6 linked regions of the Mus musculus genome follow. The protein of the gene in region 1 purifies or fractionates together with the protein of each later gene. This does not show direct contact. Links are inferred from orthologs where the notes say so. Each region holds a gene or a part of one and is shown in the gene's direction. Other genes may lie near its edges.

Region 1 (4,862 bases):
AGAAGCTGAGAAAGTGTGTTGTGTTTGGAGCGAAGAGTAAGAGCTCTTTGTCTAGAAAGAAGATGAAAGGTTGTGTGTGAAGCAGGCTGGTCAACAAACTCAACATAAGCATCAGTACACCCATCACATACACACCACACGCCTATACACCACATATCACAAACACACCACACACACAACATGCTACACATATCACATACAACACTCTACACATCATAAACAACACACACAGCACACACACACACAACATACTACACACATTACATACGACACACACACACAAACATACCACACATATCACATACGACACACACACAAACATACCACACACATCACATATGACACACACACACCATATAAATGACCTCAGGCATTTGTAGCTCCTTATATAATTTCTGAGACCTAAATTAATCCTACCCCTTTGAGGTGTGACAATGTCCTTGAATGCTAATTTAAAAGTTCTCCTGGCTGGCAATTCCAATTAGCTTATACTAAATTCAGCGCACAAAATACATTTATTTTTAACATAAGGAGGCTTCTAATTCTTATTAATAGGACATTGGGTTCTTTTTCAATCACAGCATGAACAGATATTTTAAGAACAATGACCCATTTATGCAGCAGATTATTAGCTTTCTGGTAATGCACATTACCCCCCACCTGCTCTGGATGGAAGCCTTTAGCTCCCCTTCCCCAAGTCAAAGCGGGGCCATGTCACTGGCTATGTGAGCTCAAGTCAGCAAACTGCATGCAGCTCCCGGATTGGCTATTAGGGAACACCTTTTTTTTTTTTTTTTTCCTAACACACTTTTTTGGTAGATGTCTTAGAAGTACAATTTGGCAGTGTGGTGACTCTGTTCTGAATGCTTCCATACTCAGTCCCTAAGCTTTGGATACGTTTCTATGTTCAACAGGTCTCTCAGTTTAATGTTCAGAGATCTAGACTATGCTAACTGTGCTCAGAAAACACATGTCAACTCTGCGTTATTACTATGAATATCCTTTATTCTTATTATTTTTTAATTAGTTCTCTTCTGGGCAGTTGGGCCTAGTTTCTCTCTCTCTGTCTCTCTCTCTCTCTGGGCGTGGGGTGTCTTTCTCGCGGGTGGGGGTAAGGCAGGGACCCTCTACAAAGCTCTGGATGTCCTCAAGCTCACAGAGATCTGCCTGAGCGCGCCACCAAGCCGGGCTGGAACAGGGATTCTGGCTCTCTAGGTGTGAGGACTATAAAGTGCTCGGTGCACTCACCGCACCCTCAGGGTCATCAAATCCTCAACACACAAGGGCTTAGGTTCAGGACCCGAGTGCAGAGGAGTCGGAAAAGGGTGGGGTCAAAGTGGAAAGGTCAAAAGGCCAGTGTCTCCAGTCCAGAGCCTCGGACATCCGTTACCATAGCGACTTCAGCCAAGGAATGGAATTACCGAGGCCCCAACAGGCTTTGCGATCCCAAATCCCAGGGGTTTTCGGCGCGGCTCGTATTCCGTAGAGCAGCTAGACGCAGACACCAACGCCGACGCGGTTGCCTAGCGACACGCATTTTCCCAGGATGCCTAGCAGTGTTGTGTTTTCTCAGCCAATCAGAGTTGAGATGCACCTTCGCTGTGGACCAATAGAATGCGAGGCCGAAGCCCGCGACGGTTGACCCGGTGGCCGGTTGCTCGCCGACTCAGGCAGGCAGACGAGGGGCTCGGGTTTCGGCGCGGTTGGCCTGCAGCGGGCGAGCCTGGGCTCCGAGCGGCGCGGTGGTGTGGTTGCCAGGGTGGCCGCTCGCCATGCCGTCCCGGGTGGAGGACTACGAGGTGCTGCACAGCATCGGCACCGGCTCCTACGGCCGCTGTCAGAAGATTCGGAGGAAGAGCGACGGCAAGGTGAGGCGCCGGGCAGCCCTTCCACGGCGGGCTTAGGGAGAAGCAAGCGTCGCCCACGCTGGGGAGGGGCAGGGCGGCCACCTGAACTCTCGTGAAGGACCGGGCTGTAGCCTCCTAAGAAGGGACGGGCTCGTGGAGCGGGCAGCCGCGGCTGGGAACCGGTGGAGGCGCGAATCCGCGGCGAGCAGAAAGACGAGCTCACGTGACCTGCTTCGCCGCTGCGCCACACGCCGTCCCGGACTCAAGCGCTGGGGATGGTACCGCCCACATTTCGGGTGGGTCTTCCCACTAAATTAACCCGGTCTCGACTCCCTCACTGACACACCCATTGAGTTGTTAGTGTTTTGTTTTTCAACTTTGGAAATTTCACCCTTTGTCTCACACCTTGGAAATGTTGTATTTCAGATCCTGGTGTGGAAAGAGCTTGACTATGGCTCCATGACGGAGGTGGAGAAGCAGATGCTTGTGTCTGAAGTGAACTTGCTTCGGGAGCTGAAACATCCAAACATCGTCAGTTACTATGATCGCATTATTGACCGAACCAACACAACCCTGTACATCGTAATGGAATACTGTGAGGGAGGGGACCTGGCTAGTGTCATTTCAAAGGGGACCAAGGATAGGTAAGGTGAAAGAGCCCCACGGTTCGTATCTAATAATAATTAACTTCCATGTTTGTACGCTCTGAATGACTTGCCCCAGATTGAAGATGGCTTTTATTCAGGGTTGTGAAATGTGCTTTTTCTCCAGACAGTACTTGGAGGAAGAGTTTGTCCTTCGAGTGATGACTCAGTTGACGCTGGCCCTGAAAGAGTGTCACAGAAGGAGCGATGGTGGCCACACTGTGCTTCACCGGGACCTGAAGCCAGCCAATGTCTTCCTGGACAGCAAACACAATGTCAAGCTGGGGGACTTTGGACTAGCTAGAATATTAAATCACGACACGAGTTTTGCAAAAACGTTTGTTGGCACACCCTATTACATGTCTCCTGTGAGTATTTTAGAATTCAACTTTTTTTTTTTCCCTGAGACAGGATTTCTCTGTGTAGCCCTGACTGTCCTGGAACTCACTTTGTAGACCAGGCTGTCCTTGAACTCAAAGTGATTCTCCTGCCTCTGCCTCCCAAATGCCGGGAATAAGGGTGTGAGCTACCACACCTGGCCTAGAATTCAACTTTTTAATATCTTAGGTGAAGCATTCAGATGCAAAGAACTGAGGCTTGGGTTGCTAGTAAATCCAGTAGCTCAGAATTCACAATACAATTTAAGTTTGAGTTTGACTTTGTTCCCCTAATGTTGGGGATTGAACCTAGGCCCTCAGGCATTTGAGTTACACCCCAAAGTCTTTTATATGTATTATGTATTTAAAAATGTTTATTATTTATGTATATATAGTATATGTGTCTTGTGAGTGAGTGCTATGTGTATGGTGAGACCAGAAGAGGGAGTGGACTTACCCTATCCCACACACTCACGCTCAGGGTTCCAGGCAACTGTGAGCCGTCTGACCAGATGCTGGAACTTGAACTCAGGACCCCCGGGAAGAGCAGCAGGTGCTTAATCGCTGACCCCTCCTAGATTTGTTTTCAAAGAGACTTCCTGGCAAACAGTTCTCTGTATTCAACTAGAGCTTTCAAAAGAAAAAGAGAACTAAGGACTTATTTATGTGTATGGGTGTTTGGTCTACATGTATGTAAGTGTGCCACCTGTGTGCCAAATGCCCAAGGGGGTCAGAAGACAGCATTGGACTCTTTGGAGCTAGAGTTATGGATGGATTGAGAGACTGGAAACCATATCCAAGTCTTCTGTAAGAGCAACAAGTGCTGTTAACCACTAAGCCATCTTCAGTGTCCCCCATTTCCCAGAGTTTCACTGTAGTTCTGGCTAGCCTGGAATTCACAAAGATCTGCCTGCCGCTGCTGGGATTAGAGGTGTGAACCATGTTGCTCAGCTTTTGTTTTGTTCTTCAATAACCACAAAATGCTAAATTATAGGGTTACAAATAATGTTTAAGGCAACAATGTTTCCAAGGGGAATAGTGTTTGTTTGTTTTGTTGTTTTTTGTTTTTTCAAGACAGGGTTTCTCTGTGTAACCCTGGCTGTCCTGGAACTCACTCTGTAGACCACGCTGGCCTTGAACTCAGAAATCCGCCTGCCTCTGCCTCCTGAGTGCTGGGATTAAAGGCGTGAGCCACCACTGCTCAGCTGGGAATAGTGTTTAAAGGCAACAATATTTCCGAAGATGTCAGTCCTAAAGTGGTGACTTCAGACTCCCTGGGAGTGTTTATTTTATTTTTTTAACATACGGAGTCCTGGACCCAAAGTTAAAGCACCGCTGGTCACGCTGTCTCAGCAGGCAGCTGAGGTGAACCGAGATGCTCAGGTACTTGCTACTGCTCATGAGTTTAGGACCCAGACCCAGGGAATGGTGCCTCCACATTTAGAGTGAGTCTCCCCAGCTGAGCTAAGTCTAGATTCCCTTAGTGATATACACAGAGACTTGTGTCCTAGGTGATTTTAGATGCTGTTAGGTGGACAGATTTAGCATTACAGTAACTGAAAGTTTGGTGAGGCTCAGGTCTTCTCACAGAGGGATCCAGTGTTTAGTGTTAATTTCTGCATGTCCTGTCCTTGCTGCTCTTCTGCATTTACAGGGTGTTCCCAAATGTCTCACTATCATAAGGCACCCTAGGTGCATAGCCTTGTATGAATTAGTCCTCATTTCTGATTATTAGATTGTAGAACAATTGTTAGGGCAAAAACATGACAGGTTTTTAATCTGTCATTAGATGTCAAGGTCAGGGCCTGCTTTTTATCCCAGTCTGATTTGCATAGTGAGATCCTGTCTCAAAAAACAGAAGCAAAGCACAAGTAAATACCAACCAGCCTCAAGTCTGTAAGGGGCAGCACACACACACACACACACACACACATCCTCCGTCCACTGTTATAAAAGCACAGCAGTATCTAACACTCTCCTTACTTCTCCCAGCT
Region 2 (4,760 bases), on another chromosome or scaffold:
TTTTACCAAGGACACCCGGCAGAGAAGAGCTGTAGCCCAACTCCTCCCAATTCCTCAATATCTACAATAAAAACCTCCTCAACCATATCTAGGAGTGGTCACGTCCTTGTTTTCATTCACCGACCAGTTTGTTCCCTATCGGTTTGGGTTTCTAAGTACGGCCTCTTCAGAAGGCAATCCCCATCTCCCTCATCCTAGGCTGGCAGTGGCAGAAGATATCATAGACTCAAGGAGAATGACAATGGCTTGGTTGCTCAGAACACAGTGGAGAGTGGGGTATCCTAGTCCAAGTGACTCCTGGTAGGGTTGATGGGGTTGTAGACAAACTGTGTGATGGGGCAAGAGGTAGAGGGTAGAGAATGGAAGCAGTGAGATTGACAGGCCACTTACGTGTGCTCCTTGTTGGGTTTTCTTCTGTTTGTTCTTCCAGATAGCCTAGTGTGTGATAGAAAGGCCTTTGTAGGATAGGGAGGTTTTGCGGGGAGGAATCAAGAGGTCGGAGCAGAGCATGTGGAATATGTGTTAATTTGACTGTTTTTGATTATCCAGGCAAGCGAATTTCAGCTAAGCAGGCATTCCGCTCACCAAGTTCTAAGAGCAAGCCTTCCTGTTGCAGTGCAGCTTCAAGCTCTGAAGGATGGCGTTCCAAGAAAAGGGATGAGAATGAACTAAAATAAATGTGTATCACAATAGACAATTACAGTGAAGTTATCAAATTCCAACAAACTGAATTTTGGAGCAAAGAAATGGACTGGAACTCTTTATTCTTTAGGCTATGATAGGCCTCACCATTTTTTTTTTTTTTTTTTTTTTTTTCTTAGCGATGACGAACAGTTAACGGACTAAAGCCCATCTTGGGTGGGGGTGTGTGATTTCCGGGTAGAGAATTTTCCATGCAATCCTGAGAAAATGAGTGGTCTCCCTTCCGCTCCCATTCATCAGCCAGGAGGCACACATCCCCTTTTGAGATGAGAAGGAAACTCAACCAGCTGGGAAAAAAAATTACCTAACTTAGCTCAATTGAGAAGGTAGTTCAGGATCTTAGAGATTTGGTTTGTTAAAGAGGTAACGTCGTTAAGTGACCGCCTTCGCTATAGGCACTTGCACAGACACCTTTTTCAACTGCGCAGGCGCTAGGTCCTCTCCGCTGCCGCGCGTCCCCAGCCTGGCTCTGCCCTGGCGCGAGGCAGGTCGGGAAATCCAAGATGGCTCCAGCCATTTGAGTTGTTCGCAAGTCTTTGGTGTCCCGCTGCCGCCCATTCTTCCTCCGGCATCCGGGAGGGAAAAGGGATGAGAAACTGGGGCGGTGAGGAGTCATCGTGACGGTCCTGTCGCTGCTCTCGGGCCTTCGCGGCCCTTGTGCCTCCGGGGAGCAGCCGGGGCTCGCAAGCGCCTGACGCGTCCCGAGTTATTCAGGTGCGGGCCGGGCCGGGTCGGGCCGGGCCGGGTCGCGCATCGCTGCGACTTGGTGTTGGAATTTCGCTGCACCGGGTGCCCCAAGGGCTGAGCGCCCCGGGGCTGGCCTTGAGCTCCTGCTGGGGTGAGAGGAACCCCAGTATCAGACTGGGCTTTCCGGGTTGGCCCGACGCGCCATGAGCCGATGCTCCGGCCGCTACGCCGTGGCGCGGTTCACTCAAAAGCACGGAAAGCCTGTTTTTGTAGAGACCCAGCTCAGGGTCCCGCTGTTTGCATATGTTCCTAGTAACCAGTAATGACAGTTTTATTTCTAGCATGTCAACTCAATGCTTTTATGTGGCCTGTAACGAATAACACGTTTAACAACTTTTGGAGAACTGTAAAAGTATTAAGTATGATGTCTTTGGGTTAAAAGGCATCTAACTGAGAAAATGATGCTATAAAAAGTTATCCTGTAGGTTCGTTTTAAGCTAAAAGGGAATGACATTGCATGTTTGCATGAGGAAACGTCGGGTAAAGTTGCAAGTTCTTTAATGTTGACTGCTTTGTTGAATAGAATTTGGAAAGGCCAGCCACATTTTGATAAGCCCCTACTTTTCATAAGGCATATGTGTTTTTCAAGTTCTGTTCTCAATATTGATTTTATTTCTAGGAGGTGAAAAAGAAACTTGGGCCTGTTTTTTGGCGTAATCATTTCAGGAATGACGTTTAAGTCACAGCAAGGAAGATTTTGTAGCTATAGAGGGCTTCGTATAAACTAGAGGCTTTCAGATTGTTAAAAAAAATGATGCCAACAAGACTTTAGATGAGAGCTTCAAGTCAAATTTAGTTAGCAGTTGTTATTCTTAAGTGCCATTTCAAACACTGAGGGTTATAGTGCTGCTAACAAATGCTGTTGTAGAGGTTTCCTCAGAGACAAAAAGGCACATACTATGCCACAGAATGTTTGAATGTTAGTTATCTTTACATGCCGTGTGTCGAAATGTCTGTGAGGTGGATCCCCATGTTTCTGACCTAGCTCCACTCGGGTCTCTGTAGTAATAACTTAGTTTTGACTAGAAGGCTGACAAGAATGCGTTTGGATTCACACAGAAATAATGTTCATATTTGGAACCCATGTCGAACTTCTCTGAAGAAAGGGCAACGATGATTGCAGCCGGGGATTTGCAGGAATTTGTTCCTTTTGGCCGAGACCACTGCAAGCACCACCCTAACGCTCTGAACCTTCAGCTTCGTCAGCTGCAGCCAGCCTCTGAGTTATGGTCTTCTGATGGTGCAGCTGGCTTGGTGGGATCTCTTCAGGAGGTTACAATCCATGAGAAACAGAAGGTTTTATTAAGATTCTCATCATACTTTTGAAATTTAGAATGAATACCGTGCTAATATAAAGCTGCCTATATGCATGTGAGAAATAAGTGTATGTTGGCACTTGGTTAAAAGCTAATGTTTGGTCATTTCAGTCAGTGCTGAAATATGGTGCTGCCTACATAGGCATGCTGTGTAACTTGTAATGAGAGTTGAGTACTTTAATCATGGCTCATTTTAAACTTTATCCTCACTTCAGATGTGGGTAATCAGGTTTTATACTCTTTGGTGACTAAATGCCAGAGGTTAGAAGTGGTACCTGCAACACATGTTTCTAGAAGAGGGTTGATGTCACATAAGGGTGTTAGCATAGTAGTACTTTCTATTTTGAGGTGGACCTTAGTCAGTAGCCCAGACTGACCGTGGAGGTTTAAGCTGCCCCTCTCTTCTGCTTTACCTAGTCTTTGTATTTGCCTTTGAAATTAAATCTCTTGGAATGTACATAGATAGATAGAAATCAGAAACTTTTTAGCTTCTATTCATCTTATGTGTGGGACAAGGGGAAGAAGATAAATAATATATTTGCAGCTGTGAAGCAAGGAAGTCCCCCCATTGAGTCCTATGTGCACCTGTCTATTTTATGCCTTCTACATACATTTAATACCTACTTTTAGTTTCCCTTCAAGCATGGGTTTTATCTTATACTCTATATGTAAGAGATACTTTTTGTGTGCCTGCGTTATTGGCAGAGCAATACTAGGAACATAGAAGTATAAAATAAAGTACTTCTTATAGAGAATTTTTGAGTCAGTTTTTAAAAAACCTGCCTGCTTGTATGTCTGTGCACCATGTGTGTGTAGTGGCCATGTGGGCCAGAAGAGGGCTCAGATCTCTTGGAACTGAAGTTATAGACAGTTGTGTAGGTGCTGAGAATCAAACCCCAGTCTTTAGAAGAGCAGCCAGTGCTCTTAACCACAGAGCCATCTCTCCTACCTCTCTTAACTTATCTCAAGAGTCCCGTGATGTAATGTGCCCACTTTGCTAATTCACTCATTGTGCTCACCTATGTATTGCAATCCTTGTAGGAGTTAGTCTTGGGTTGAGTCTTAATTTACAGGCAAATCTTGCTTCAAACTACTGAAAAAGAAGAAGTGCTGAGCATGTCCTGTGTGTTAATTTTTAAGGAAAGCTGGCAGTTAAGAAAAGGTGTGAGTGAGATTGGAGATGCAGCTGACTACGATGAAGAGCTCTATGTGGCTGGGAACATGGTTATCTGGAGCAAAGGGAGTAAAAGCCAGGCACTGGCAGTGTACAAAGCGTTCACAGTGGACAGCACTGTCCAGCAGGTGAGTTTACTGAGTTTGCACAGCAAACAACTGTTAATATAGCTGTTTGGAAAAGAAGTTTGAGTTTTAAAATGATAACAAATGACAACAACAGTGTAACAATTGTAGCAGCTGGTTGTACATTATGTCTGGCAGGAAAGTAAGATTTTCATTTTATCCATCATGACAGTGTCTCTGTAGCCCAGGCTGGACTGGTATTTGAGATCCCCCTGCCCCAGCCTCTGAATATGACAGGCACCTATCACCGTGTTTGGCTTATCACATTCTATATTTTTTGGTTATGAGCCTAGCCTTTAATTCCTGAGTCATCTTTCCAGAATCTTATCACATTCTTCACATTATTCTTTGCTTAGTTGTCTTAGTCAGGGTTTCTATTCCTGTGTAAACATCATGACCAAGAAGCAGGTTGGGGAGGAAAGGGTTTATTCAGCTTACACTTTCATACTGCTGTTCATCACCAAGGAAGTCAGGACTGGAACTCAAGCAGGTCAGGAAGCAGGAGCTGATGCAGAGGCCATGGAGGAATGTTCTTTACTGGCTTGCTTCCCCTGGCTTGCTCAGCCTGCTCTCTTATAGAACCAAGACTACCAGGCCAGAGATAGCACACCCACAAGGGGACCTCACCCCTTGATCATTAATTGAGGAAATGCCTTACAGGTGGATCTCGTGGAGGCACTTCCCCAACTGAAGCTC
Region 3 (5,007 bases), on another chromosome or scaffold:
TGGTCACCAAATACTTCCAAACTTTCCCCAGAAGCTGTGACAAAGGGCTGGGTCATAGGGCACATGGAAATAGTAAGTAAGCAACACATGTGGTTGGAAGATGGGTCCTAACAGCAGCAGCAGCAGATTGGACCAAACAGAACTTACTGTCCCTGTCTCTATCTCTGAGCCAGGTTCTGTATTGAGCACCATCGTAGAGCAAAGCCCCTCACAGAAAAGTGGTTTGTGTTCTGGACTTGGGGAAAACACCAGCACCTTTGCAAAGAGAGTTAAGGGCTAGGGCTGACCTGTGTGAGGTGAGTACTTTCAGCATTTTGTGTTTTGAAGATAAGAAAGGGAAAAACTGCAGGTCTTCTTACCAACAGGATATATGGTAGCTAGCAGACACAGATCTTGCAAAACAACCTTTATTGAAACACCAGAGGCCATGGGGATGGGCCCTAAGGTTTTGGTTCTGGAGTCAAGATTCTTTCTTCAACATGTCTGGCCTGGGGCCCTAGTGGCTGGGGAGACAAAGTGAGGGGCTCCCACAGTACTCAGACCAGGACCAGGACATTCCTGGTAGCCCAAAGGGATTCAGGAGCTTCAGAGAGAGGCCCCTCATGGAGCTGCTCAGGGTCCCCACAGCACATGTGAGTACGGAGCTGGGAACACCTCTTCCATTGGACTGTCCTAGGGCTTTTCTTGTCTAGGCAGGTGGAGGTCAGAAATTGCCCCTCTGGGCACCAGAGATAAAAGACATCTGAGGCCACGAAGAACAAAGATGCTTTAGGACAGACATGTTGAGGACTAAGCAGCCATAGGCCACGGCTGAAACAGGCACTCGTCAGCTGTCCTTGCCTCCACTACTCTTCTGGTCTGAAGCTGTGGCTTTAGTCAGGTTCCCAGCTTCTCTTTTGAGTACACTAAGCAGAGTCTGAGAGCTCTCCAGGATCTGGGGCCAGAGAAATAAAAGGATGTTATTTCTCTGGTAGGAAGGTCCCATTGCCTCAGGCTCTAATAATGGAGGATGGAAATCTCAATTTGGTCATCTGTGCTGTAGCCAACTGGTTATGGAGTAAAACCATCCTCCCTTCTGCACCTGTCCCAGAGCTCTTCCACCCTGCAAAGCCAGGCTGGGTTAATTCAGGCCCACACCGTGTACTCTGTCCAATACACCAATGCTCACTTTTGGAACCCACAGACAGCCCACTGTTCCACCTACAGCCTCTGAACCACAATGGGCCCTACCTAGCCTCAGATGGTAGTAAGGCACTCACAACAGACATCTGAGAGCCCCACCTTGAGGTAGGCGGCCTCGGTTTCTGCGATGGTCCGGTCAAACTCGTTGCGAGAGGCGATCTTGCGCGCCAGGTTCTCGTTGACGCGGGCCAACTTCTCCGTGAGCTGCCTCACCTCATTCTGTAGCCGCTGCTTTTCGTCCTCCTCTTGCTGGATCTGCCGGCACAGCTCCTCTCGCTTCTGACACAACTCCTCGATGCCTAGGGTGGGTGGGAAGACAGAGCTGTGGGTGGGGACTCGTGAGCTTCCGACCCCAACCAGCAATGACAGAGGGGCAGGCCGCAGAGCGGGGCTCGTGAGGCATGTCCACGCAGCCTCCCGAGTGGGTCGGCCGGCCCCGGCCCGCGGCCTTCAGTGCCCGACGCTCACACTTGACCAACTCGTTGTTGTAGTTCTGCAGCGCCGCGCCCTGTTGGGTCATGGTCTGCACCGCGTCCGGAAGCCTCAACCGCCGCCTGCACAGCTAAGTCCGCACCTGCGCACTGCCCACAAAGCGCGCGGGCTGGTGAACGTCACGGCTGCGCCACAGGTCCGCGCTTGCGTCATCACCGTGCGCTCTACTGGGCGGGTCTGTTTTGTGGACAGTGATGGAGGCCGAGGGTGTGGCGGTGGCGGCGGCGGCGGCGGCGGCGGCGGCGGCGGCGACAATTATTGCCTCCGATGACTGCGACTCTAGGCCTGGACAGGAGCTCTTGGTTGCCTGGAATACTGTGAGCACCGGTCTGGTGCCGCCGGCCGCGCTGGGGCTGGTGAGGCCGGGGAAAGGTTGTCGGGCCTGTGCAGATTTCCCGCGACTTTGCATACTTTAGGGGGTCCACCCTTGGGGCCTCACAGCTCCGTGGCCTGCCTGTAGTGGGCTTGCCTCCTTCCTCAGCTACCTGATTTGTTTGGTTCCCTGGCAGCTCTTCGGTTGCTGGGTTTTTCCATGCCCCTCCTCTCCCTTTACCCCTATTCCGCCCCTCTGCTCACGGTTTTCCGTGCTCCAGGCGTCTTCCCGGACCAGCGGTGCAGTCCCACCAAAGGAGGAAGAGCTTCGTGCAGCGGTGGAGGTTCTGAGGGGACACGGTCTGCACTCTGTCCTGGAGGAGTGGTTCGTGGAAGTGCTGCAGAACGACCTTCAAGGCAATATTGCCACGGAGTTCTGGAATGCCATCGCTCTGCGAGAAAACTCTGTCGATGAGCCCCAGTGCCTTGGGCTGCTCCTGGATGCGTTCGGTCTGCTGGAAAGCCGCTTGGATCCCTATCTGCATAGCCTAGAACTCCTAGAGAAATGGACTCGTCTGGGCTTGCTGATGGGCGCTGGAGCTCAGGGGCTTCGGGAGAAAGTTCACACTATGTTGCGGGGAGTCCTGTTTTTTTCCACCCCTAGGACATTCCAGGAGATGGTCCAGCGCCTCTATGGTCGTTTCTTGAGAGTCTATATGCAGAGCAAGAGAAAAGGAGAAGGGGGCACAGACCCGGAACTAGAGGGTGAGCTAGATAGCCGGTATGCCCGCCGCAGGTACTACCGACTTTTGCAGAGTCCTCTGTGCGCAGGATGTGGCAGTGACAAGCAGCAGTGCTGGTGCCGGCAGGCACTGGAGCAGTTCAACCAGCTGAGCCAGGTCCTGTGAGTACTGCTTCCTAACCATGCTGCGGTTTCTCTGCAAGCTTCATTAGTCCTGAATTCAAAAGACCTCTCAATAGAGCTTATAGACTAACTGGCGATGTCTTTTTTGCCCATACTTGTAACCAGGGATTATTGTTCATCACGTTTATACTGTCCTGGACATAGGCATAGGGTGTGTGTGCAGTATCTTTATGGGGAGAGCCCTCCTAGGTAAGGGACAGATGTGTGTTGTGGGTTCTCCATGAGCGGGGATCTTTTCTAGGCATAGGCTCAGTCTGCTGGAGCGGGTTTGTGCTGAGGCCGTGACAACCACCCTGCATCAGGTGACCCGGGAAAGGATGGAAGACCGCTGCCGAGGAGAGTATGAGCGCTCTTTTTTGCGTGAGTTTCACAAGGTGAGAATCACCTCTCTGGTCTGTTTCTTGTTAAAGGCAAAAGTGGAGTTGTGGTAGACCTGATACCAAACAGTAGGCAAGTTGACCAGGAGTGGTGATGGTTGAGGTTATCCTGGTGCTGTCTATAGAAGCCAGTCCTGGATCCTGATGACAAGAACAAATCTCGTATGTACTAAATAGGTCGTGCATTTAAAATAAAAATTTTAAATCCTGGACCAGAGGTAGCTACAACGAGTTTCCTCAGGTAGGTGTGGCAAGACAGGCCTACGAGACCCTTTTCTTTCCACTGCCTACAAGTTTCCATTGCCTACAGTTCCCTTCAGGATTAACCTGTAACCAGTGTACACTCTAGCATGGAGCTAGGGTGTCCCAGTGAATGCTTCTGGTTGCCCATACTGTTGAGGTATGGTTTGTATTGTGAAGAAGCTAGGTTCAGCCCCATGAAGCCATAGACCTTGTTTCTGCTTCACTCCGTACTTCCCATTCTTCAAGAGTCTATCTGCTGTGGATGCATATTAGCCATGATGGGGAGTGATTAAAGTGGGTGTCCCAGCAGTCTTGGCCTAGAGTCGTAAACTTGGAAACTCCTGGGCAGTAGAGTGTAGACTTGATACTTCTGGCCTCTACACACAGGTTGGGGCACCTCTAGGGTCCTGCCAAAGGTGTGTGGTTACTGAGTCAGAAGGGAGCTTTTAAATGTTATTACACCTCACACACTAATGATCTTTCACAGTGGATAGAGAGAGTGGTTGGTTGGCTTGGCAAAGTGTTCCTTCAGGACAACCCCACCAGACCAACTTCTCCAGAAGCTGGGAACACACTGCGTCGTTGGCGCTGCCACGTACAGAGATTCTTCTACCGTATCTATGCCACCCTACGCATCGAGGAGCTTTTCAGCATCATCCGAGGTTGGTCCTGCCTCTTAATTTTCAGGAGCTACCTTTCCCAGTGATTGCCTTTGCTTTCCCTTCTGCTGTTGGCAGGGTGGTGAGCATGGTAGACTCCCTCTGACATGGCTCAGAGTCTAGGTCAGCATTGAGCAGGTGCTTCTAAGTATCCACCTCCCCCTTCTTCTCCCTCTAGCTCTGGTCCCACTTGCTCTGGCCCATAGGCATTATTTGTTTCTAGTTATGGATGGTTGTGAACCACCATGTGGTTGCTGGGATTTGAACTCATGACTCCTGGAAGAGCGCTCAGTGCTCTTACTGCTGAGCCATGTCACCAGCCCCTAGGTATCCACTCTTGTTTCTTTCATCTTGGTTCCTACTTAGGACTGGCCCCATGTCATGTGTGGTTATTATAATCAAGTGTCAATATATAGAAGAATGTAGGGTAGAGCTGGAGAGATGGCTCATCAGCTAAGATGGCTTGTTGCTCTTACAGAGTACTCGGGTTGTTTTGAGCACTTATGTAGCAGCTCACAGCCATCTGTAACTCCATTTCCAGGGGATCAAACACTATCTTCTGCCCTCCACTGGTACTAAGCATGCACATGGAACCTATACATATGGGCAGGCAAACAGTCCCTGTAAGCAAATACATATAGAAACATTTTAAATCTTAAAAATTAAGGTTTGGGGGCTGGTGAGATGGCTCAGTGGTTGGGAGCGCCGACTGCTCTTCCGAAGGTTCAGAGTTCAGATCCCAGCTACCACATGGTGGCTCACAACCATCCATGACGAGATCTGACTCCCTCTTCTGGAATGTCTGAGGACAGCTACA
Region 4 (4,875 bases), on another chromosome or scaffold:
GCAAGTATGTCTTCCCAACATTTCATTCTAAGTAGGTACCACCACATTGACTTTTTTTTTTTTTTTTTTTAGAAAAAGGAAAAACAAGCCAGTAAAAAAACATGGGTTCTGGGGCTCAGTCTCAGGTCCTAATGGTCACAGAGAAAAGCTTTTGGCACCTGAACTAGCTCCCCAGACCAATAGAAGGTTTTGGCCTATAAACCTAATACTATGTGGTTTGGGAAGGTGTTCATCAGAATATTGAATCATCAAAAGTACATGGTGGCGACCAGGAAGGAGGCAGGAGGAGTTTGAGGTCAAAGGTAAGAGACTGTGGGGGGTGGGGGGAGATGGAAATGTATGGCTCAGTGGCAGAACAGTTGCCTAGCATGCAAAAAAAAAAAAAAAAAAACCCGGGTTGGATTCCCAGCACTGTTTAAAAAAGGGTGTGTGTGTGGGGGTAATGACCTGCAATTTGCATCTTACCGGATGTTATATTAATATTTCCTGCTTCAATGCCGGCTTTGAGTCCTTCTTTTCCCAAAATCCCAGACTCTCCTTTGGCCAGGCGTTCCCGCTCTTTCTCTTCCAAGCTTCCATAGTAGATGTGTGGTTTCTTCACAACGGGAGCAACTAAATCGTCAGGCGCTTTGGTTTTGGTTGTCTGTTAAATCAAAGACCCGGACTAAGGTTTAGTTCCAGCAAACCATGCTTCCCAAAAGAATGAAGCTAACGCTGCACTTTCATCTTCTTTCCTCTCAAAACTAGAGGAGAAAGTCGAAACTGACTTTGTGCGAGTTAAGGCTCTTGTTAAGTTTGGCACACAAATACGACCAATCAATTTCTGCCTGAAGTGTCTTGGTTGTTTTGGGGCCCGTTACTTTAATCGACTGGAAAAGCAATCTCCGGTTTTACGAAAATAACTTCTCACTGCTGGGCAGACACTAAAAACAACCTAAACAATCAGGGTGGCTCTAGGTGCACCAAGTCACGATGTGACTGGAATACACATTTCAAATACTTTCAGAGCCGATTACAAGTTGGGAAGCCTCATCATAGTAAGTACGAGTCGGACAGCTTAAGTCAGGACACAACCCGATTCCAAAGCACCGTGTTTTGGAGCAGCCAGAAAGAGTGGTCTCTGCTCAGGACTTAAGTAAGAGCAGTGCAAAGAGAGCTGCAGCACACGAAGACATCAGGAAAAGGCTACTAAGGTCCACACTAGGGTCCCTCAGCTTTCCTCCTCCTCGGCCCAGACCCGTAAGGTAACGGCCCTTTCCCACGGGAACCCCCGGCCTCTCTAGGGCAGGCCTGAGCTTAGATCCAGAGCTCCGTACCGTGGAGGAGGCTCGTGAGGAGGCCATGCCGGGCGGCGGAGACGCGAGGCCCTAGCCAAATCCGCGTTCTACTTTTCAGACCGGGAACCGCGCGCCTAGCAAAGTGGAAGTGCGTCACTGGCCGGAAACGTATCAGAAACGTACTACGTGCGAAGTATCTTGGGAATGGTAGTTGCCAAAGGTCGGCTGGAGTCGAGGGGCGTGGCCTTACAGAGCTACACAACCTCGCGGGAGAAGAGGAGCATGGGAAGAGAGGCGCAGAGCAGCCTGGGAGGTGTAGTTTGGGCTGCGCAGCAATGGAGTCATGGTGGGAGTTGAGGTTCTGGGGAACTGCAGAGGCCTGAAAAGAGGTAGGTTTGCGGATCGCAACCATAATCTGGAACAAAACGAGGGTCTCTGTTATCCTTCGGGAGGCCTTCCGCCATTTCGAAGCTGAGGCCTGTGTTGCCATGGAAATCTCTCCCTAGACTTCTGCAGCCTTGGAGCTGGGAAAGAGGACTGTTGTCCACGACGGAAGTCCTTCGGGGGCCCCTCGTAACTCGGTGGCTACGTAATCAGTTTGGGCTTCAAGAAGATATTAAACTCTAAGACCTTCTAAGGCTAAAATAGAGATGTGGTGGAGGAGCTGCGGCCTAGTTTGTTGTGGGTTTACTTGTCTACAGCCTATTCTTTGTCTGTGTTCTTTGAAATAAAGGGTCCATGAAGGCTCCAGATAAAGAGCATATCAGCAGTAGTAGCTCCAATGAATGTTAGGCCATCAGAGATAAGGTTTTTTTTAAAAAAAAAATCCTTACATGAAAGTTGTGGGGGTTACAAAAATATGCGCGTTTGCCGAGCTGAACAGACTCACTTCCACACTCAAGGCCCTGCCCCGAACAACTCCAATTAGAAGAGCACTTCCTTTTCGAGGACTTACTAATGCCGAGTTACGCGCAACGAGCTTATTCTGTTTTAGTCATCTCAGTCACGGACAAGAGTACAAGCCCGAAAAAAACCAAAAAACATTCTGGTGAGAAAAGGTCGTTCTGGAGCCGTAGTAGTAGAATTAGTAACGTGGCAGGTCGCGAGCCGCCGAGCCGCGCTTTTAACTCGTACTCATTATTGCTCTCTAGTGGTGAGGCTTTCAGAAAGTTCCCTCGCAAGTAGGGAATTATTGTTGTTGTTGTTGTTTTTCTAAGTGTTTCTTCCTTTCCCCCTTGGAGCTGACTTCCATTTCTCTACGTAAGGATCTGGTAGAAAGTAGTATCTGATAGAATAAAGCAGTTTTGAAATGTCACGGGCCAGTGTTTTGATTAGATCACCCCTTGCTGTGCTAAGCCTCCTGAGAGAAGTGTAAATGTTTCCTATACATTGTAGTGTTTTGTTTCGTTCTGGATGCACGCAATAATAATTTCTATGAATGCACACTATAGCAAAACTTTCATGTAGATCACTATCATTTAGCTTTTTATTTTAGTGGTCTAAGTGTAACTTTGTTTTTTTTTTTTTTTTTAAATTATTTATTATATGTAAGTACACTAGCTGTCTTCAGACACTCCAGAAGAGGGCGCCAGATCTTGTTACGGATGGTTGTGAGCCACCATGTGGTTGCTGGGAATTGAACTCAGGACCTCTGGAAGAGCAGTCAATGCTCTTAACCACTGAGCCATCTCTCCAGCCCCTATGTGTAACTTTTATAGAATGCTGATTTAGCTTTTTTTTTGTTTTGTTTTGTTTTTTGTTTTTCTTTTTTTTGCTCAGGCCCCGCTCTCCCTGCTTGCTCCAGCCCAAAGATTTATTTATTTATTATATGTAAGTACACTGTAGCTGTCTTCAGACACACCAGAAGAGGGTGTCAGATCTCATTACGGATGGTTGTGAGCCACTATGTGGTTGCTGGATTTGAACTCAGGATATCTGGAAGAGCAATCAGTGCTCATAACTGCTGAGCCATCTCTCCAGCCCACATTTTTTGTTTTTCAAGAAGGGTTTCTCTGTGTAGCCCTGGCTGTCCTGGAACATGTTCTGTAGACCAGGCTGACCTCAAACTTACAGACATCCTCCTGCCTCTGACTTCAGAGTGCTGGGATTAAAGGTGTGTGTCACTACTGCCCGGCTTCTGATATTAACTAAACTGTTTGCTTCAACTTTATAAAACTGGAATAATTTTTCAAGTTTCCCAAGGTGTCTGTATTAAAATAATACAAAGAATGCGAATGTGGGACGGTTTAGTGGGTAAAGGAACCTGTGCTAAGTGTGATGCCCCACATGGTAGAAGGAGAGAACTGACCCCAGATGTTGTCCTCTGACCGATGCTTGTGAATTGTGTGCTTTCACCAACACCCAATACATAATTAAATAATTTTTTTAAGAGGCAAAAATTTTTAGTTACTAAAGTGAAAAAAAAAAACCCAATAATGGTAGAGTCTAGAACTTAAGAAAAGTTAGTGTAGGGTTGTGGGTCTTGAGTCTGCTCTGCAGCTTGGGGAGGCAGGACACAGGGAGTTTGACTGCACTTACCTCATGCCAGCTCAGGGCTGGTGCTGGGCCATAGGGAAGCCCCAGGACATTGCTGGTGGGAAAGCGGGCAGTCTGAGGCATGGAACAGTGGGAGCTGGTTTGGGGGTCTGCCTGCTTGTGATGAGGCTGGGGTGGTCGGTTCTCAGGCTTTCCAACATCCAGGCCCCGCTGGGAGCCCCAGAAGAGCTGAGAATGGAGTGGGGGAGCAGCTGGCTGGCTGTGTGTGGTGGGGGGAAGGGGAACAATGGCTGGTCACACGGGGAGAGTCCTTGGCTTGACTGCAGGCTTGGGCTTGGGCTTGGTGGGCAGTGGTGGCTGGGAGTGCAGAAAGGCCTTCTACAGGACTAGACAGTGGCTCTATAGTCGAAGGCCTTCTCCATGGCTCCCCATGGTGGATCCCGATGAAAAGAGGCAGTCCATAGTAGTAAGGCATTTATTGTCATAGAGGAAAGTGGATGTATAAAATCATGCCCCCACTTCTCAGGGTGGGCCTGAGGTTAAATACATTTTGCAGGGAGGAGTGTCTGGGAAGGAAAGCTTATTGCTTATGCCCTCCAGGCCTTTAGGCAACTCATTAGAATGGAGATCTGGCTTGATCCTATGGTGGTCACGTTTCTTTTCCTCTTGTCTTGGTCTGAGATGTTAGTGATGCCTCATCTATGTTGGGGGTGGGGGGCTTGGGGCATTGCCCTTACATGACTGATGGCCACAAATCTATGGGGGACTGCAGTTAGTGACAGGGGCCTGGTGCCTGGGAGCAGGCGAAGGTCCTACCTACCATCTCTTCAGGGTCCCCAGGGCTTCAAAGCCTTTTTAGCTCAACTGAGGACCAGGCTACCTCTCACTGCCCGACAAGTTAGTTTCACCTTCTCTATTGTTGTGTAGCTCAGTTTACTCCAAAACTTTATTTATCATGGATACTGTAGAGGATATAAAGACGATACCTTCAACAGTACTAAGGTCAGCCTAGCTTTTTGTTGATTCTTTGAATGTCACATCAGGCACCCCAATCCCACTCGTCTCCCTGTCCCTTCGTATCCACCCTCTACCCTTGCAACTA
Region 5 (5,079 bases), on another chromosome or scaffold:
TTCAGGTGTATGAGGAAGTCAGGTGCAAGTCATAAGACTTAGCTGCAGTCCTGGGCACCTTCTTGGGACTGCTGCCACACCCACTCCTCACGTGGGGTCAAGATGTCTTTGTCATAGGCTAGTGAGATGGTTGAGTGGTTAAGAGCACTGGCTGTTCTTCCAAGGTCCGGAACTCATTTCTCAGCAACCACATGGTGGCTCACAACCAACTATAAAGGTATCTGATGCTATCTTCTGGTGTGTCTGAAGACAGCTACAGTGTATACTCATATACATAAAATAAATAACTAAATCTTTTTTAAAAAATGGCCTTGAATCTCAAATTTAAGCAAACAGCTTCAGTTGTTTACATTTTAATTGCATGTAGTTATTTATTTTGTGCGAGTGAGAGGCACATGCGGCTGTCTCAGAGGACAACGTGAAGGAGTCAGGTCTCTCCTCCCACACAGGGGATTGAATTTACAAAACTAGCCTTGCTGATAAGTGGTTTTACTCTCAGGCTGCCCAGCTTCAACATTTGAAAGTTTTGGTTTCCTTGTCGGCAAAGAAGGACTGACAATTCAAAGTACTTATTTGTTTGTTTGTTTGTTTGTTTGTTTTAAGCGTTTTCAAACAGGGTTTCTCTGCGTATCCCTAGCTGTCCTGGAACTCACCCTATAAACCAGGCTAATCTTTAACTCACAGAGATCGGCCCAACTCCCAAGTGCTAGAATTAAACCACCCCCTGCCAACGTTGTTATTTATTTATTGAATATGAGTACACCATTGCTCTCTTCAGACACACCAGAAGAGGGCATCAGATCCCATTAAATGTGGTTTTGAGCAACCATGCGGTTGCTGAGAATTGAACTCAGGATCTCTGGTATAGCAGTCGGTGCTCTTAACCACTGAGCCATCTCTCCAGATCCAAGTTGTTGTTGTTTGTTTGTTTGTTTGTTTCAATGTATTTTTATGAGTATCTGCATGCCTGAGTGTGTATGTCTGTGCACCACATGCATGTATGTGCCCATAGACGCCAGAGGAAGGAGTCGGATGCCCTGGAGCTGGCCTTTCAGACTGTTGTGAGCCACCAGGTAGGTGCTAGGAACCGAATTCCCCTGCAAGAGCATGCAGTTTTAATTTCTGAGGCGGCTCTCTCCCTCTATGGAAATGGCTTCAGCATTGCGATTTGTGAATATGCAATGCAGTAACGAGTTCGTAAAGGCTTGAGATGTTGACAGTGGGGCGATCAGAGATCCAGCTCATCCCTGTAACTATCTTTTCTTCGCACTTGGATCTAGCGGGTCACTTGGACGGGCAAGCCATGCCTTGCACCAAGGAATCTATTCCCAGTGACAGGGACAAGAGTCGCCAGGAGAGGGGGGCGTGCCACCTTCGCCTAGGACGCTCCCGTAGTTGGAGAAAGCCAGCCCTTGCGCGCCTGATTCGAAAATTCAATTTTTAACTGTCCGTTTTCCGCCTCCGCTGTGTTTAGGATGAACTCCTGTGCATTGTTACTAGCCTCCGCGAGGCATCCATTCCTCTCAGGCTGTCTTTAGCGCAGCAAAACTACGATTCCTACTGGGATGGCTTTGAAGATGATGATGATGGAGAAAACCCTTTCGCCGCTGCTTCTTTTTACTCAGGCACGTCCGTGGCTACCTCCATCTTCGGGGGGCGGAGCCGCGTCTGGACCGGAAGGACCCCGGCGCCGTCTCCATTTTGGAACTTTCCCCGAGCCTCTGCTCTCGGTTCCCGGGAGTTCTGTCCGCCGCTGCCGGTGCCGCGGTGTCGCCGGGGGCCACGGTGTTGCCGGGCAGGATGAGTGTGATAGACCACGTGCGGGACATGGCGGCTGCGGGACTGCACTCCAACGTGCGGCTCCTCAGCAGCCTGCTGCTCACCATGAGTAACAACAACCCGTGAGTTGGAGAGGCGGGGAGGTGGCGGTCCCGGGAGCCGGGGTTGGCGGTGGCGGGGGGACGGTGTGGTCCCGCGGAGGGCTGCGCGGGATCCGGCCTCGGTGGCCTCGGAGTTCTGGCTCCTTCCAGAACGACGAAGTCCCCTGAGTCCCGGGGACCCAGTCCACCGAGTGTCAGCCGTGGGGGTGCCACCCCAGCGGAGGGAGGGGACCCCACTTTCCGAGACTGAGAGCATCGGTGGCGGGCGCGGTGGCGCCTTTTTTTAATTTAAAAGGAACCCTGGCAGTCTAATGTAAGGCCCGACATTGCCGCCGGGGAGTGACTGGTTTTGTGTGGTTGTGTTTACAAACAGGGGTCTCCTGTAGCCCAGGCTAGCCTGCCCCAGGCTGTGTGTGTGTGTGTGTGTAGTCAAGGAAGACCTTGACCTTCTTACCCTCCTGCCTACGCCTCCCAGAAGCTGGGGGGGGGGGGTTAACTGGTGTTTTACACCCCCACCATGCTCTCAGTGTGCGTGTGGACCTTGGGGATCGAACCAGGGATTTCAGGCGTGCTAGGCAAAACACTACCGATGGAGTGACAGTTCTATCTAGCCGGGTTTACTGCGTCTCAAAGGAAGCCCGGGACAGTTGTAGGCTTGAATTGCCTGTAAGGGCCTTGCTTAAAAATTTCCCCATCATTGCTCACTCTTCGACGTGGCTCCGCAAGTCAACCTAGTCATTCCTTTTCTCTAATTTCTCCTCCTGCCCGAGCGCTCTCAGAGCAAGCATTGGCACCGGTGGCTTCACTTTAGAACCGCTGCCTGAGCCGGGCAGTGGTGGCGCATGCCTTTAGTCCCAGCACTTGGGAGGCAGAGGCAGGCGGATTTCTGAGTTCGAGGCCAGCCTGGTGTACAGAGTGAGTTCCAGGACAGCCAGGGCTACACAGAGAAACCTTGTCTCAAAACAAAACAAAACAAAAAAAAATGCTAAGGAAATGTGTTTATTACAGGGAGGTCCAGTAGGTCGACCAAGATCACACCCTGGAGAACATAGAGGAGCGAGTGGATCTGTCTATGATTGGAGATAGTTTGTATTTCAGTCCACCACTGTCTAGTGCTTCCAAAGAACATTACAGTAGCCTTCTACTCCGTGCAGACATTTGCATTTGGCGTGGCTGAGGCTAGTCTAGTGAGACAGCCAAAGGGCTGTGAGGGGCCTGTAATTCAGTCACTACCCCCCACTCCAATTCATTAGTGTGCTTTGGACCGACTAGGCACACACATCATTTGGTCACCAGCTTCTTTTTTTTTTTTTTTTTAAAGATTTTATTTATTTATTTATTTTTATTTATTATATGTAAGTACACTGTAACTGTCTTCAGACACTCCAGAAGAGGGCATCAGATCTCATTACGGGTGGTTGTGAGCCACCATGTGGTTGCTGGGATTTGAACTTCGGACCTTCGGAAGAGCAGTCGGGTGCTCTTACCCACTGAGCCATCTCACCAGCCCGGTCACCAGCTTCTTAGTGTGACACGAGGGACACTGGTCTCTGTCAGCCTTCTGTGTTGATGTTGAGGACTTTTCCCCAGAATCTTAGTGGTGCTTCATAGCAAATGGTTTCCTGTGTTGGGGATAATGCCCTAATCTTTACTCTTGGGTCGGGACAACGTTCTAGCACTGTTTGAACGCTATAGAGCGTCCTCCTCTAGTTAGACTGAATTGGGCTAACCCATGCTTTTCCACGTTAGGTTAGATTGGCAAGTTCTTAGCTACAGGAAGCAGATAAGTTCTGACCTTCATCCTTTATGTTTTGATATTTGTTGAAGAGACAGTGTACACACTGTCCAAAAACAAAATAAGACTGATAACATAGTTCAGTGGTAGAATTCTTACCTAAAATGCCTTGCAGCTGGATCTAGCCTTTACAGTTACCTAAGATATCGCTCTGCCCGGGAAATGGTCATTGTGTACTGGCTGGTTTTGGGTGTCAACTTGACACAGGCTGGAGTTATCACAGAGAAAGGAGCTTCAGTTGAAGAAATGCCTCCATGAGATCCAGCTGTAAGGCATTTCCTCAATGAGTGATCAAGTGGGGGGGGCCTCTTGTGGGGTGGTACCATCTCTGGGCTGGTAGTCTTGGGTTCTATAAGAGAGCAGGCTGAGCAAGCCAGGGGAAGCAAGCCAGTAAAGAACATCCCTCCATGGCCTCTGCATCAGCTCCTGCTTCCTGACCTGCTTAAGTTCCAGTCCTGACTTCCTTGGTGATGAACCGCAGTGTGGAAGTGTAAGCCGAATAAACCCTTTCCTCCCCAACTTGCTTCTTGGTCATGATGTTTGTGCAGGAATAGAAACCCTGACTAAGACACACTGTAACATACTTGCCGAGCGAGTAGTGTCTCTGGAGTGATACATGAAAAGCAGTGCTCTCTGGAGAAGGATGGTGGTTGGGTCAGGTTCAAAACCGAGGAAGCAGTACTTTGCTTGCCTCTGTTTTTCCCACCTCACAGCTTCACTGTGTAGCCCTGGCCGTCCTGGAACTCAGAGATCCACTTGCCTCTGACTCCACAGTGTCGGAATTAAATGATGATTGAGCCAGCACACCGGTCTTCGTGAAGCTGAGGCTGACCTTGAACCCCTGATCCTCCTGCTCCTACCTTCAAGTTCTGAGATTATGGACTCCATCTATCCCATTTGACTTTTTTTTTTTTTTTTTTTTTTTTGGTTTTTCGAGACAGGGTTTCTCTGTGTAGCCCTGGGTGTCCTGGAACTCACTCTGTAGACCAGGCTGGCCTCAAACTCAGAAAACCACCTGCCTCTGCCCCCCCACCCCCCCACCCCCCCAGTGCTGGGATCAAAGGCGTGTGCCACCACGCCCGGCCCATTTGACTCTTTTGAATGATTTTGTTGTATGTACCTGTACACAGGTTCCTAAGTACACATACATAATAATACAGCTTATTTTTTAAGAAGGTACTATAGATTACCAAATGAAGTCACATTAGGGACTGACTGCGGGACTGACTGCTAATAGACTTGGAATTACTTTGGTTTTTATGTTTATGTGCCTGGTGCATTTGGAGGCCAGAAGAGGGCATCAGATTCCTTGGAGGTGTAAGCTGGAGTTACAAAGAGCTGTAAACTGCCCGATGTATGTGCTGGAATTTAGACTTGGATCCTCTGCAAAATTCCTGTGCTCTT
Region 6 (5,026 bases), on another chromosome or scaffold:
TGGAGGAAAGTTTCAATATGGCCCAGAAACTGTTTTTGTAGTGTTTTGGTGAAGATTGTGGCTGCTTTTTGCCTTTGTCTTAAGAGTCTACCTGAGTCTAAGATAAAGAGACTTATATTAATTGCATTGACAAAGTCTCAAAAAAGCCCAGCAGAGACCTTGTTCTCTGGTTAAGTCTCATGAAGAACATTTTAAATAAGCATAGCAAGTTTAGAAAGGAAAAATACAAAATGTGGTTCACATATTAAAGGGGCACCAGGAAGTGAAATGGAGCTGAATCTTACGTTCTAGGAAATAAAAGATTAAGGGATTGGGGGTAAGATCCCATCCAGCTAAGTTTAGATTCAGGCATGGTGGTATACACCTTTAATTCCAGCATTACAGGCGGCAGAGCCATGCAGATCTCTGAGTTCAGAGGTTCAGTCGGACATCATCAAGGTGGGAACATGGCAGCATCCAGGCAGGCATGGTGCAGGAGAAGCTGAGAGCTCTACTACTTCATATCAAGTCTGCTAGCAGCATACTGACTTCAAGGCAGCTAGGATGAGGTCTTAAAGCTCACACCCACAGTGACACACCTACTCCAACAAGGCCACACCTCCAAATGGTGCCACCCCCTGGGCAAAGCATATTCAAACCATGACAGAGGGAAACAGTTTTGATAAACAGTACTACTGATGATAAAATGTAGACTTACTTTGCTCTCCCTTCTTGCAGAGTGGTCTTTATACTTAAAACCCAGAGCAGTTGTGATCAACAGATTGACAATTGAGGTTGCCTGGGCAGTGTCTGTCCACATTTTCTCACAAAATTGAATGCTTAGATAGCCACAGAATAAATCCTGTTTCCTCTTAACTGTGGTGAGTTTGCTACAAGTCAAGAAATCATTTAAATAAGGCGAAAGAAAACACACTATTTGTCCCTGTTAGGGAGGGTGCAAGCACTTTAACAGTATATGTCTGTAGATAGGAATCATTCAGTGTTTTGTTTTCTTTTTAAATGGTGATTTCCGTCCAATGTTAACCCTCTTTTAATTTGCTAAAATGCTGCCTGATAGAGAGGTTTGTTGTTTTAAATTCTACAATGCATCCAGGGCTGAAAACGACTGTGTGCCAAAGGAGGTCCAGTGTGTGAGTCCGGAGTTTTGATTAGAGCCTAAACCTAGAACAAAAGGGATTGTGTACACAGCAGCGAATTTCTGAGCAAACGGAAAAGGCCTGGAAGGGTTCCCACACGTCCGCGTATACAGGGTTAAGGATTCCTTTGGTACTTGCTGTGCAGCGGGCAGCCCAGAGTAGGGGACCTCCGAGACACCAGAGCTCGCTCCGCCCTAGCCACGCCCAGCTACGGCCTAGCTCCGCTCCCTTCTAGCCCCGCCCTCACCCGCTGTAGCCTAGGCTAACTTTGCCCTAAGCACTCGCTCGCCCCGCCCACACGGCTCCGCCCTACATCAAGCCCCGCCCTGCGCTCTCCCCGCCCCACCGGCGCGCGGCTGCTGTGCCACTCACTTCCTCTCGCGAAGACGTCCCGGCGTCGGCGCCGGAAGCTTTCTCCGAGCGCGGAGGGCGGAGTGAGAGGGCGGGGAAGGCCGCTGGCTAGGAGTAGGCCGAGTCTGCGACTCTGGCAGGTACCGCTGCTGGCAGGGCTTTGTGCCAGAGCTTTGTGGCCGGGTGCTCCGGCGGCCTTCTCGCGCACGTCGTTGCAGGGCCGCACCCATGCTGCGCTTTCCGACCTGTTTCCCATCCTTTCGGGTGGTGGGAGAGAAGCAGCTGCCACAGGAGATTATTTTCTTGGCCTGGTCCCCCAAGCGAGACCTCATTGCTTTGGCCAACACTACAGGCGAGGTAAGTGAGCTGGTGAGAGAGGTCGCCTGGGCTGGGACCCTCGAGCCTCAGTTTCCCCTTTGGCAGACGTGGCGAATCGCACATCTCTCCTGCCCCTACATCTCAGCATGGCTGTTAACTTTAAGAGACTGTGTAAAATACTGTGCCTTCCAGACAGGATGTGTATTCCATTTCCTGTATGGCCCAGAAGAACAAATTCCCTCCAAGTTCTGCACACCCAGGACTCCAGGAATTGATTTGGCCAGGGATGCACCATCAGACCCCGCCCAAAGTTGGTTTCAGATTAGTAGAGAATGAAGATGAACTGTCAAGTCCAACTGGAAGTGTGTGTGTGTGTGCAGTTGCTACAGAGGATGCTTGGTTCCGAGGTTTTACATCTTTGTTACATCTAGCTATTTAGAAGATCTTTAAGTTGAAAGGCTGATGCCTCACAGAATTGCAGACAGAATGCGTGTGGACGTTGTCAGTTAGCATTTCTGACATTAGGAACGTGAACATGCGATATCAAGTACAACTAGATACCCATCTTTCTGTGGAGGATGACTATTACCTGACAGCCATCTTGAAAGGGTCCCATCATCCATGCCACTTAGCACCCTCACCTATGTAAAACTAGGTGGTAAGGAAGGCCTAGCACCCAGAAATGCTTAGTGTGCCAGATTGCATTATCGTGTTGTGTGGCACGGCTCTGTCTCTAAGATCCATGGCTGGTGACATAGCTAAGGCGTGGGCTAAGAGTGCAGTCATTATTGTTGTTATTTTACTATGTCACCTACATATTCATGTTGTTTGTGTTACTTCTTTTGTCTATTGTCTTGGATAGGCTTTTTAACCTTTTCAAAAAGGTAAGTTTAAAAGATACAAAAGGGGCTGGAGACATGGCTCAGCTATCAAGAGCACTTGCTGTTCTTATAAATGACCTAGGTTTGGTTCATAGCACCCACATGGTCACAACTGTCGGTAGCTTCAGTTCCAGGGAGAACTGATGGCCTCTTCTGGCCTCCTGGGGCACTGACTGCACAAATGTGGTACAAATACATACATGTAGGTGTACCTTAAAAAAAAAAAAAGAAAGAAAATATGTAGAGTACAGGACTAAGTTGGGCCTTCTGAGTTCACCCATTTCTTTGAAAATGTCTTACATTCGTTTGGACACTGTTGTTCTGTAGATTGCAAAAAAAAATACTCAAAAGTAGTAATTAAAATTTTTGTTCTGTGGGTCTAGGTTCATTTTATCTCTGCAGGTGAGTTTGCAGCTTTCTGCTATCATGTCTTTTCATCTTAGGTTTTGCTGCATCGCCTTGCAAGTTTTCATCGAGTTTGGAGTTTCCCACCAAATGAAAGTACAGGAAAAGAAGTGACCTGCTTGGCCTGGAGACCAGACGGCAAACGTATGATAATGCTACAAACGTGTATCTCTTATTTCCAAAAGGATAGTCTAAAAACAGTACTTTTTCTTGGTATATTTTAGAATTATGGTTTTGTTTCTGTTGTATAGGTCTTACTGTATAACCCTGACTGGCCTAGGACTCTTTGTGTAAACCAGAGATCCACCTGCTTCTGCCTCCCAGGTGCTGAGATTAAGGACATGTGTGGCCTACCGTATCTGGCCCTATATTAGAACTATAAGTACTAGTTTGAGACTTTTTTTTCTTATTAGAATGCTTATATTTTTCATGAAAGTCTGTTGTTGGCAGGGATAAGTCTTTAATGAGCCCTGGCTTTGTGGCAGATAGGATCAAAGTCTGAGACATTTGCAGAATAATTGGCTTTGGCTCTCTCTGCTCTCTTGTCCTACATCATTTGATCCAAGTACCATTCACCACTCATGAGTCCATTCAGTGCCATCACAGTCTTTTTCTCCCCCAAATTCAGTTAGTACTAAATGTGAGGTTCATAAATCTCCTCTATGTAAGCTACCACTCAGGAGGGGCTGCGCACTGTGACTCTACATTTCCCAAAGGTCTTTTCCTGCTGTCGTGGCTCAGATCATTCATCTTCCATGGGGGTGTGTGTGTGTGTGTGTATCTTGTTTAGTTTGTTTGTTTGTTTGTTTGTTTTTCAAGACAGGGTTTCTCTGTGTAGTCCTGGCTGTCCTGGAACTCATTCTGTAGACCAGGATGGCCTCGAACTCAGAAATCTCCTGCCTCTGCCTCCCAAGTGCTGGGATTAAAGGCTTGCACCACCACTGTGCTGTCTTGTTTAGTTTCTTAAATTGATAGTTTCTGGAGCAGTTAGTCCTAGTGTTAGAATAGTAAATTGCTATGGGCTGCAGCTTGAAGTTTATCAGGGTGTCCAGCTTGTGGTCTATAAGTCACATGGGACTCTGTATAACAATGAATATGGCCCAGCACAAAATTTTAACGTCCTCAAAACTTTGGGTTTTTTTTTTTTTTTTTTGTTTCTTTGTTTGTGGAGGGTTTCTCTATTATTATTCTTATTTTTTTTTCTTTTTTCTTTTTTTTTTTTTGTTTTTTGTAATGTGATTGCATAGTTCTCTAATGTGAACTTCATGGTTAACTACATTGTATCACTGTGGCAAAAGGTTGAGCAAGCCTGAAGGTACTTTAAGAAAAAAAATAAATTACATTTGTAATATGAGTATGTCCTCCTGCTTAGTTTTGTTTTTTTCTTTTTCTTTTTTTTTTTTTTTTAAATAAATATAAGTACTTAAAGCTTGTTTGATAGCTGTTTTGGTGAGCAGCTCTGACAATGTGTGTAGAGATCTGTTTGTGCATTTTGATCTGAATTCATCTATTCCGATAGGCTTAGTTCAGGCCAGTGTAAACAGATTTGCCGCTTTGAATGTTAAGTGAACACTAACCACTGTGTCTCCATACTGTAATGTACAGCTGTTGGCCGTGATGCTTATCACATGTCGGCTTTCAGCTGTATAAGCAGTGCGTAACCATTCTGAGCAAGTGGGAGAACTTAGTGGGATTAATTCCTAAACGTAGAACTTCCAGGAATGCTCTAAGCATAGCCATTCTCCTTTTTCTTAGATGAGTAGAACATATAAAATCAGAGGGGTTGGGCCAGTGGGATGGCTCTGTGCAGGTGACAGTGTTTGCTGCCACACCTGAAAACCTGAGTGTGATCTCCAGCATCCACGTGGTGACAGAGGAGAAACGATTCCCAAAACTACCCTCTGGCCTCCACACATGTGCACGGCACACATTTGC

What was found.
Region 2: the proteins of Nek2 (region 1) and Anapc1 purify together in Homo sapiens (affinity purification with mass spectrometry; 3 studies listed by BioGRID and IntAct, with this or other methods). This does not show direct contact. The link is inferred for Mus musculus from reciprocal best matches to the Homo sapiens genes NEK2 and ANAPC1.
Region 3: the proteins of Nek2 (region 1) and Anapc2 purify together in Homo sapiens (affinity purification with mass spectrometry; 4 studies listed by BioGRID and IntAct, with this or other methods). This does not show direct contact. The link is inferred for Mus musculus from reciprocal best matches to the Homo sapiens genes NEK2 and ANAPC2.
Region 4: the proteins of Nek2 (region 1) and Cdc26 purify together in Homo sapiens (affinity purification with mass spectrometry; 3 studies listed by BioGRID and IntAct, with this or other methods). This does not show direct contact. The link is inferred for Mus musculus from reciprocal best matches to the Homo sapiens genes NEK2 and CDC26.
Region 5: the proteins of Nek2 (region 1) and Anapc7 purify together in Homo sapiens (affinity purification with mass spectrometry; 3 studies listed by BioGRID and IntAct, with this or other methods). This does not show direct contact. The link is inferred for Mus musculus from reciprocal best matches to the Homo sapiens genes NEK2 and ANAPC7.
Region 6: the proteins of Nek2 (region 1) and Anapc4 purify together in Homo sapiens (affinity purification with mass spectrometry; 6 studies listed by BioGRID and IntAct, with this or other methods). This does not show direct contact. The link is inferred for Mus musculus from reciprocal best matches to the Homo sapiens genes NEK2 and ANAPC4.

The regions. Positions count from the first base shown.
Region 1 is NC_000067.6:191,819,874-191,824,735, forward strand, and holds the start of Nek2 (serine/threonine-protein kinase Nek2), read left to right. Parts: upstream 1-1,599; 5' UTR 1,600-1,772; coding exon 1,773-1,868; intron 1,869-2,273; coding exon 2,274-2,491; intron 2,492-2,618; coding exon 2,619-2,859; intron 2,860-4,862. UniProt on the Homo sapiens protein: Protein kinase which is involved in the control of centrosome separation and bipolar spindle formation in mitotic cells and chromatin condensation in meiotic cells.
Region 2 is NC_000068.7:128,683,809-128,688,568, reverse strand, and holds the start of Anapc1 (anaphase-promoting complex subunit 1), read left to right. Parts: upstream 1-1,173; 5' UTR 1,174-1,416; intron 1,417-2,508; 5' UTR 2,509-2,532; coding exon 2,533-2,745; intron 2,746-3,905; coding exon 3,906-4,067; intron 4,068-4,760. UniProt on the Homo sapiens protein: Component of the anaphase promoting complex/cyclosome (APC/C), a cell cycle-regulated E3 ubiquitin ligase that controls progression through mitosis and the G1 phase of the cell cycle.
Region 3 is NC_000068.7:25,270,648-25,275,654, forward strand, and holds the start of Anapc2 (anaphase-promoting complex subunit 2), read left to right. Parts: upstream 1-1,818; 5' UTR 1,819-1,868; coding exon 1,869-2,030; intron 2,031-2,267; coding exon 2,268-2,890; intron 2,891-3,152; coding exon 3,153-3,285; intron 3,286-4,018; coding exon 4,019-4,193; intron 4,194-5,007. Other genes in the region: Ssna1 (Sjoegren syndrome nuclear autoantigen 1 homolog), read right to left, coding at 827-934, 1,282-1,481, 1,651-1,702. UniProt on the Homo sapiens protein: Together with the RING-H2 protein ANAPC11, constitutes the catalytic component of the anaphase promoting complex/cyclosome (APC/C), a cell cycle-regulated E3 ubiquitin ligase that controls progression through mitosis and the G1 phase of the cell cycle.
Region 4 is NC_000070.6:62,405,343-62,410,217, reverse strand, and holds the start of Cdc26 (anaphase-promoting complex subunit CDC26), read left to right. Parts: upstream 1-1,592; 5' UTR 1,593-1,666; intron 1,667-4,875. Other genes in the region: Prpf4 (U4/U6 small nuclear ribonucleoprotein Prp4), read right to left, coding at 466-643, 1,317-1,343. UniProt on the Homo sapiens protein: Component of the anaphase promoting complex/cyclosome (APC/C), a cell cycle-regulated E3 ubiquitin ligase that controls progression through mitosis and the G1 phase of the cell cycle.
Region 5 is NC_000071.6:122,420,778-122,425,856, forward strand, and holds the start of Anapc7 (anaphase-promoting complex subunit 7), read left to right. Parts: upstream 1-1,666; 5' UTR 1,667-1,800; coding exon 1,801-1,901; intron 1,902-5,079. UniProt on the Homo sapiens protein: Component of the anaphase promoting complex/cyclosome (APC/C), a cell cycle-regulated E3 ubiquitin ligase that controls progression through mitosis and the G1 phase of the cell cycle.
Region 6 is NC_000071.6:52,832,549-52,837,574, forward strand, and holds the start of Anapc4 (anaphase-promoting complex subunit 4), read left to right. Parts: upstream 1-1,586; 5' UTR 1,587-1,715; coding exon 1,716-1,844; intron 1,845-3,129; coding exon 3,130-3,235; intron 3,236-5,026. UniProt on the Homo sapiens protein: Component of the anaphase promoting complex/cyclosome (APC/C), a cell cycle-regulated E3 ubiquitin ligase that controls progression through mitosis and the G1 phase of the cell cycle.